Linked DNA regions of Oryzias latipes. The protein of the gene in region 1 purifies or fractionates together with the protein of each later gene. This does not show direct contact. Links are inferred from orthologs where the notes say so. Each region holds a gene or a part of one and is shown in the gene's direction. Other genes may lie near its edges.

Evidence for each region.
Region 2: the proteins of pfdn5 (region 1) and pfdn1 purify together in Homo sapiens (affinity purification with mass spectrometry; 7 studies listed by BioGRID and IntAct, with this or other methods). This does not show direct contact. The link is inferred for Oryzias latipes from reciprocal best matches to the Homo sapiens genes PFDN5 and PFDN1.

Annotation. Positions count from the first base shown.
Region 1 is NC_019863.2:4,452,003-4,455,925, forward strand, and holds the start of pfdn5 (prefoldin subunit 5), read left to right. Parts: upstream 1-1,684; 5' UTR 1,685-1,729; coding exon 1,730-1,819; intron 1,820-2,875; coding exon 2,876-2,978; intron 2,979-3,923. UniProt on the Homo sapiens protein: Binds specifically to cytosolic chaperonin (c-CPN) and transfers target proteins to it. Binds to nascent polypeptide chain and promotes folding in an environment in which there are many competing pathways for nonnative proteins.
Region 2 is NC_019872.2:23,090,102-23,094,024, forward strand, and holds the start of pfdn1 (prefoldin subunit 1), read left to right. Parts: upstream 1-1,250; 5' UTR 1,251-1,316; coding exon 1,317-1,415; intron 1,416-2,120; coding exon 2,121-2,287; intron 2,288-3,714; coding exon 3,715-3,799; intron 3,800-3,881; coding exon 3,882-3,923. UniProt on the Homo sapiens protein: Binds specifically to cytosolic chaperonin (c-CPN) and transfers target proteins to it. Binds to nascent polypeptide chain and promotes folding in an environment in which there are many competing pathways for nonnative proteins.

The DNA of each region.
Region 1 (3,923 bases):
ATCTGAGGTGACGACAAATAAAAACTTTAGTGTAAGAGCTTGAAAAAACAAAGTTTAAGGAAGACTTGCTGTAAACATTCTGAAATGGCTCTGCATCAATGTTGTCTACATTTGTAGATTTTTTCTCTACTTTGTGTTACTTGAATATTGACAAATCTAATTTTTAATCTGCCTATGAAAAAGGAAGCAGGACGTCCTGAAAAAGAGGGGAAAAGTCTTAATTTGGTTCTTTTGAGTTTTGGTAGAATTTGCCGTTTTTGTCTATGAATAAGAGTATAAACTACGCTTCAAACCTCAGGTAGCCTACCTTAAGATTTAATTCCTAAATCCAAACTTCAAAGCGGGTGATGGCATAAAGAAAGTAGTGTCAATTTTGTCTAGAAAATACTAGGTCATTAATCTGCATGTTTCAATATTGAATAAATATTAAGCAAAAATAGAAAGTTCAAATATTTGTCACAAACACACAGTATGACATGCAGCCAAATGCTTCGTGTAACTGATATGCAAACTAGAACAAGTATGGGCCCCTATACTTGACCCACAGACTGCATGGCAGTTGTTCAACCTGCAGATGTAATTGACTAAATTAAAAACCAGATTATTGTACGTTTCCATGGTCTCTTATCGTAATTTTAATCTTCTTTCTCTTTTGGCTTTTCCCATCAGGGGTCGCCACAGCGAATCATCCTTTTCCACCTCACTCTATCATGAACATCTTCTACCCTAACGTTAGCCAACTTCATGTCCTCTGTTAAGACATCCATGTATCTCCTCTTTGGCCGTCCTCTTGCCCTCCGGCCAGGCAGCTCCATCTCCAACATCCTTCTACCAATATATCCACTATCCCTCCTCTGAACATGTCCAAACCATCTCAGTCTGGCTTCTCTGACTTTGTCGCTAACACAGGCAACATGAGCCGTCCCTCTGATGTACTCGTTCCTTATCCTGTCTAACCTGGTCACTCCTAAGGAGAACCTCAACATCTTCATCTCCGCTACCTCCATCTCAGCCTCTTGTCTCTGTCTCACTGCTACCGTCTCTAACCCATAGAGCAGAGCTGGTCTCACCACTGTCTTGTACACCTTTCCTTTGAGTCTTGCTGGCACTCTTCTGTCACACAACACTCCTGACACTTTCCTCCAACTGCTCCAACCTGCCTGCACTCGCCTCTTCACCTCTTTTCCACACTCCCCATCACACTGAACTGTTGACCCCAAGTACTTAAACTCCTGCACCTTCTTCACCTCAGCCCTCTGTAACCTAACGCTTCTACCTTGATCCCTCTCATTCAGACACATGTATTCTGTCTTACTACGACTGACCTTCATGCTTATCGTAATTTTAATATTCTGCAGAAAAAAACCCATTCAATTTCAATCAAAGAAACTGTTATGCAGAGTCTGCGTTAGAAAATAGTCATATAAACTAGAGCTAGTCAACATATTTAAAAAGGAAGTTTTCTTCTTTCCTTTTATTTATTTATTTTTTGCATTTCATTTTAAATCATATTTACTTTGAAACAGCTTTCATGTTCTAATAAACCGGAAAATATGTCAACCGGAAGTACATCTCGCAACCGGAAGAAGAATCCGTCTTTTGTCACCACGCTTCCAACATGGCGGTGAATCTCACAGACCTCTCTCTGCCGCAGTTAGAAGGACTCAAAGGCCAGCTGGACCAGGTAAAATGCGTGAGTTTAGACTGAATATGTGACCGCTGCTTCTTCATGAAGGCGTCTACGCTAAAGGCGGGAATGAGAGCAGCGCAGCGGCCGCGGAGGGTCATGATGTTTCCCCGCAGGGGCGTGGAGTTTCAGGTGCTGCTCGGTTGTAAAGAAGGGTTTTTGAGTTGACAGAGAAAAAACCGACAATAGTTTATTTTACAATTTGTCCTTAGACTTTATAGGATTTAATTGATACATAGACAGGATGGGTAGCGACCTTCAAGAGTTAAGAGAAATGAGTCACAGTTTGAACTTGCCTGGCCTTATCATTATATTATTTACATTTTTTTGTTAAATTTTGAATCAGGCTTATTGTTGTCATTCAACCAATACACCCGCTATGAGTGACAAAGCAGCTGAGTTTTTACAATGCACACATCCGGGGGAAAAAACGTACCTAACGGTACAGAAGTGAACTGAACCGAACCTGCTGTACTGAAACGCTTCGGTTCAACTACGTTTATTCTTACACCCCTAGAACATATAATACCCTTATTGATAAGGCATTCTGGCGTTGGGAATTATTATAAATTCTAATGAATTCAAGAAATGCAACAGAATCTATCCTGGTGAAGTAGTCACAGGTGTGCAGTTTAGTGTAGTTTACCTCTATGTGGCAGATGTCAGTGCTAAACATCTACAAAATTAATCAAATAACAACATCACTCACTGAAGTAAATTGTTGTAGCATTTCAGGATATGACTATGTTAATGAAAAACTACCTAAATTATTGAACACAATCGTGCTGGAAAGAAAAATTGCACAAAAGCACGACTGAAACCGTTACCAAAAAGCCTGTGTGCGATCATTTCCAGCTGAGCGCCGTCCAGACCGCGCTTGGTGGCCGAAAGAAACTGCCAGCTCAACATTTCTGCAAACTGTGGCCACGGGGCAGCAGGAGTGTTGGCATAACTTGGTCATTTCCAGGATCTGCTTTTGCAACCTCAGTTTCTCAGCTTTACTATCAGTTTTGTTTCACAATGCAACAAAACATCACACTTATGCGTCAATAAAAAACTGGAAACATTCGTTTTCTAAAACTAGTGAATGGTGGTGTATCTGAGTACATAGATGGAACTCCTCTGGGGTGTTTCTTTTAATTTTTTTTAATTGCTTTTTTGAAATTCATGCTGTGTTTTTTTTCCCAGGAAGTTGAATTCTTGACTTCTTCAATTGGCCAGTTCAAAGTTGTGCAGACCAAGTATGTTGAAGCAAAAGACAGTTTAAATGTACTGACCGAAAACAACAAAGGTATGTAAAATGTCCCTTACTGGTAATTTGTTTGATCATTAATGTTTTAAAAAATGTTTTATAGTTTTACTTCTAACTTTGCTTAGGATGGCACCTCTTTTAACCGTCACACCACGTGCGCATAGATCAGTGTTTTCACACCTTTTTTGAGCCACGGCACACTTTAACCTTGACAAAAATCCTGTGGCACACCAGCATCCAAAAATAAAAATAAAACTCCTAGTCTGTTTTGATCTACAGCCCCTCTGCAATCTCACATGCATTGTTGTGATCATTGTGGCAGAAAAAGCTGGAAGCTGCAGCTGGTTTTCTAAAAGATGTAATAAAAGTTAAGTTAGAAGATTTAAAAACTGTTTGGTGTGTGTTCGTTGTGGTTTCAAGACGTCAAAGGAAGACTCATTGTACACTGATACGCTGCCACTTTAACCCAATGCATCATGGGAGATGTAGTGTCAACAGCCGGCAAACGCCAGACAGACTGGCGTCTTGGAGCTTCATGGTTTTGTTCCCTTGTTCCACGGTCTGACACCGGATTCTGTGGAAAGCTACACCGCTAAAGACGAGCTTTAGCTGGTATTTTTGTTGGAACTGAGAGACTTTATGAGCAGAAATGGAACAAGGAAGTGAAGACTTTAACCACTTCTGATTGGTCAGACTGATGACGTATGATTAAGACTCCAAGAATGATTGGCGGAGACAGTTAAAGGGGCGGGACTTTTCAGAAAACAGTTAATACTGCAGCTAAATCACGGTACCGTCATTCTTATTTAAAAGTCTTTAATATAATCAAATAAACACAAAGAAAAAAGTATTTTACGACACCTTTTGCTTTGATTCCTGCTTTGCACACTCTTGGCATTCTCTTGATGAGCTTCAAGGTGACAGTGATGTTACGGAGCGAAATAACAAGAATAAACAAATACGTATCGTACACACATCCTAAAT
Region 2 (3,923 bases), on another chromosome or scaffold:
TGAGCCAAGCGAACATGCAATTTCATTCCCTGACTTTAGATGGCGCTTAATGTAAAACAGAAATACCCCTGTACACAAGGTGGCGCTGCGCAACTTTACGCTTCTTAAAGTCGCTTTTCACTCAGAAGAAGAGAGCAAGTATTTACGCGCTTGTCAGAATCAAACAAAGAAAACATGAATATTTCCAGCACCAGTAGCTCCAGTTCCAGCAATGAAGAAATTATTGTTCTGTTGAATGATGTGTTGCACCGAGTAAAGACTGATAACTGCCGTAAAGCAAGTCAAAGTTTTATTAACACAGGATCATTATTTGCAGTACAATACCTTTATACCGATGACACCACAGCAAACGATGAAAGACGCTGGAAAAGACGCAGATTTTGGGTACATCCCATAGTTACGAGAAGAGAAGAACATGGGGAGTTTTATCGACTGGTACGAGAGCTAAAAATGTATCATGAGCGTTTTCGGGGATATTTTAGAATGTCCGTCATTATTTCTTTGCGGCAGTGTAGATTCCACTTGGCGTCTTATCTTCTTCGCTGGTATGTGTGCTCAGAAAGGCAGTTTTGTGTTTGAGCGCCCCCAAGTTGTGTTTTACTGTAACTTCAGAAGCTCCAGACACGTGTCCAAAAGCCCCATTCTCATTAGTCGTATAGTTTTTGCCGCGTGGCGCCAAACCAAAAAAACGAACCCGAGGCATTTTTTATAAAGTGACGCTTTGAAGCGTGGCGTTTTTTCACGTCGGTGTGCACACTCACATTGGTGCCCTTTGTTTAGTCATGAGGCGTTAAACATCGGCGAATATCGCGCGCGAAATTCGTCCCGGTGTGTACGGGCCTTAACTGGCCACCTCTGCCACGAATCTCGTTCAGTGTGAACGCACCTTAAATGTAACCATAACACTAAACTTAACCTTTCCTCTGGGTCCGGGTGTTCAAGAATTAAGTTTTGCACTGGCCACAAGTATTTGGAAAATGACGTGTGAATAGTGCTATGCAAGTGTATTCAACAATTTTTACAATTTCTGGGACTGTCTATCGGTCTTCACTCAGGCAAGACGCAGCTTGCAGATAGGGGGAATCGAGGGCGGAGCTAATCAGCACCAATAGCCACGCCCATGTAGAGGAGTTCTTGGAAACACGCTTCAGATAAACATGACATTTTAAAGACATTTGGCTTGTGGAATTTTAGTTAAAAAAAACGTCGTAATTGTAACTAAAACACCACTGGGAACGTTTTTATTTTTTTTAAAAAAAAGGTCACGGGGAGTTTAAATAGATCATCGTTACTGGGAGGGGCTGTGGGCAAACTTGATGCTGCCACAAAATAAGCCCGAAGAAGACAATCTTGCGCATGCGCACTCGAAATCTACTCTAAAGATGGCGGCGCCCGTGGACCTGGAACTAAAAAAGGTGTGTAGTTTACAGGACGCCGAACACATCATATGTCTGACGCACGTGGTTGCGCATACTCTCCGATATTGGGTTACAGGCAGCTACCGCTGGTAGTTATTAGTGTGACCCATACCGCATTCAGTGGTGCACGCGGAAGGTTCACGAAATTCGGCTGACCGGTCACTTCACTAGTAACAAACATGTGAACCGGACCATTGTGTACCTGCACCGAATCTTTGAACCCCTTAGAGCAAAATGAGTTTTGAGGTTGCCCCCCCCCCCCCATCTCTTTGAAACGGCCGAGCATCCTTTCTGATCGGGTGGACCATATTCCAATCCCACAATCCTTTGCGGTATTAACACTGAGACAAAAGATGATGGGGTTTGAGGAAACCAGATTATGACAAACATGCTTGTAAATGTTAAAGTCCAGTTTTCCATCTTTCAGTGTCGTGGATTATTTTAGGTCAGATGTCGTTTTTTTTTTTTACCTCCTTTATGCAAACATTTAAATGGTCCAGGTTTATATCTTCATAGACTACCTTCATGTAGCAGATCGCTTTGCTTGTTAACTGATTTACAGGAGAGGCAGTGTTTCATTTTTCTGTTTGACTTCCTGAATCAAGCCAGAGAAAAGGAAGAGATGGGAGAAATAGTGAAACTCTGATTCTCTCCTGGTTTCCTTTTCGACTTTGAACAGAGCGATACTTCCTGTCTCTGCAGGCATTCGCCGAGCTACAGCTGAAGATGATTGACACACAGCAGAAGGTGAAGCTGGCCGACCTCCAGATTGATCAGCTGACTCGAGTTCAGAAACATGCCAAGCTCACAAGCACAGAGATCTCCTCGCTGCCGGAAAACACGCGCCTGTACGAGGGCGTCGGCCGAATGTAAGTGTGCTCTCCTGTAATCAATGCCAACTCACCAAAGAACACAGATGAGTTAGACACATCTGAAAAACATGAAACCAGTCTGGTTTTTCCATCAAATGTCTGGTTCTGCTTTGGAAATCTCAGTGTCACACGGTTCTACTGCAGTTGTGAAACCATGTGCCTCTTATTTTGAAAACTTTACATTTATTTTAAGGAGATCTCCACCAGATTCACATAAATTTCTTTTTGGAGAGGTTTTGATTGGCCTCATTGATGCTACTGAGGCTCCATGAGAGTTCCAGACAGAGGAATTCTGTCTGACCTGATTGACTTTATGAACTTCACATCCAGTCAACACTTTTATACACAAGTTTGAAGAGGATGTGCGTTTAGCAACTGATCTGCACAAACACTGAGCTACATAAGGGTTAATGGCCAACAAAGTGTGCTTTATCAGCATTAATGCACTTTATGCGTTAATGCTGATAGCACTCTTGCCTCGGAGCAAGAAGGCCACTGGTTCAAGTCCCGGCTGGGGGACCTGAAACAGAACATCAATGGGGGACCTTTCTGCATTGAGTTTGCATGTTCTCCTCGTGCATGCATGGGTTTTCTCCGGGGTCTCCAGCTTCCTCCCACCGTCCAAAAAGATGCTCCATAGGTTAATTGGCAACTCTAAATTGTCCATAGGTGTGAATGTGAGTGTGAATGGGTGTGTGACTGTGACCCTGCGGCAGACTGGCGACCTGTCCAGGGTGTCCTCTGCCTTCACCCATAAGTGGCCGGGATAGGCTCCGGCAGCCCCGTGACTCCGAAAGGGAACAAACGGAAGAAAATGAATGAATGAATGCACTTTGTGGAAGCAACCGTCCTCCGCAGTTGCTTCCATAAAGTGCATTAATTTCTGATTGTGCCCACTTTGACAGCCGTTAATCCGCTGCTACCATGATTACTTACAAAAGAAATAAATATATAACCAGTTTTTAGGCCTTTCATTCTAACATTTTTATGGTTCCAATCTCTTTTTTTTCTCTTCACAAAAAGTCGACTATTTGTTACGTGTCACGGTAACATAACGCGCTGCTTAGCCCCACTGACCTCGACTGCTGCGGCAAAGGAAAGCAATATATATGCTGATCGTCACCACGGGTTAAATAAAGCATCAGTTCAGAGAGAAAGTTTACCTCTTTTAGTCCAGATGATGAGGCTGAAGTTTGTTTTAAAGAAGCCAGTGCAGTGATACAGAACAGTTAAGCTATGTGCCCGGAACTTCTTTTTTAGGCGTACATTATCACCGTGGATTATCACTTTAATGCACACCCAGCAGCCAATCAGAATCGAGTATTCACCCGGACCATGGTATAAAGAAACGTTAATGTCTGAATGCTGCCTTTAGGTTCATCTGCCCTGCCGATCCTATAGATGACAGAAAACTGTTGTTTCAGGTTCATTCTTCAGTCCAGGGAGAAGATCAACAACCTGCTGACAGACAAACAGAAAACCGTGGACGAGAAGATCAAGGAGCTTGAGGTGCGAGTGCCTGCTCCATCACAGCTCGCAGTGCATGTTTGCGGGTTTCTGACTGTTGCTGCCCGTTTGTGGTCTCTTGCAGCAGAAGAAGGTGTACTTGGAGCGCAGCGTGAAGGAGGCTGAA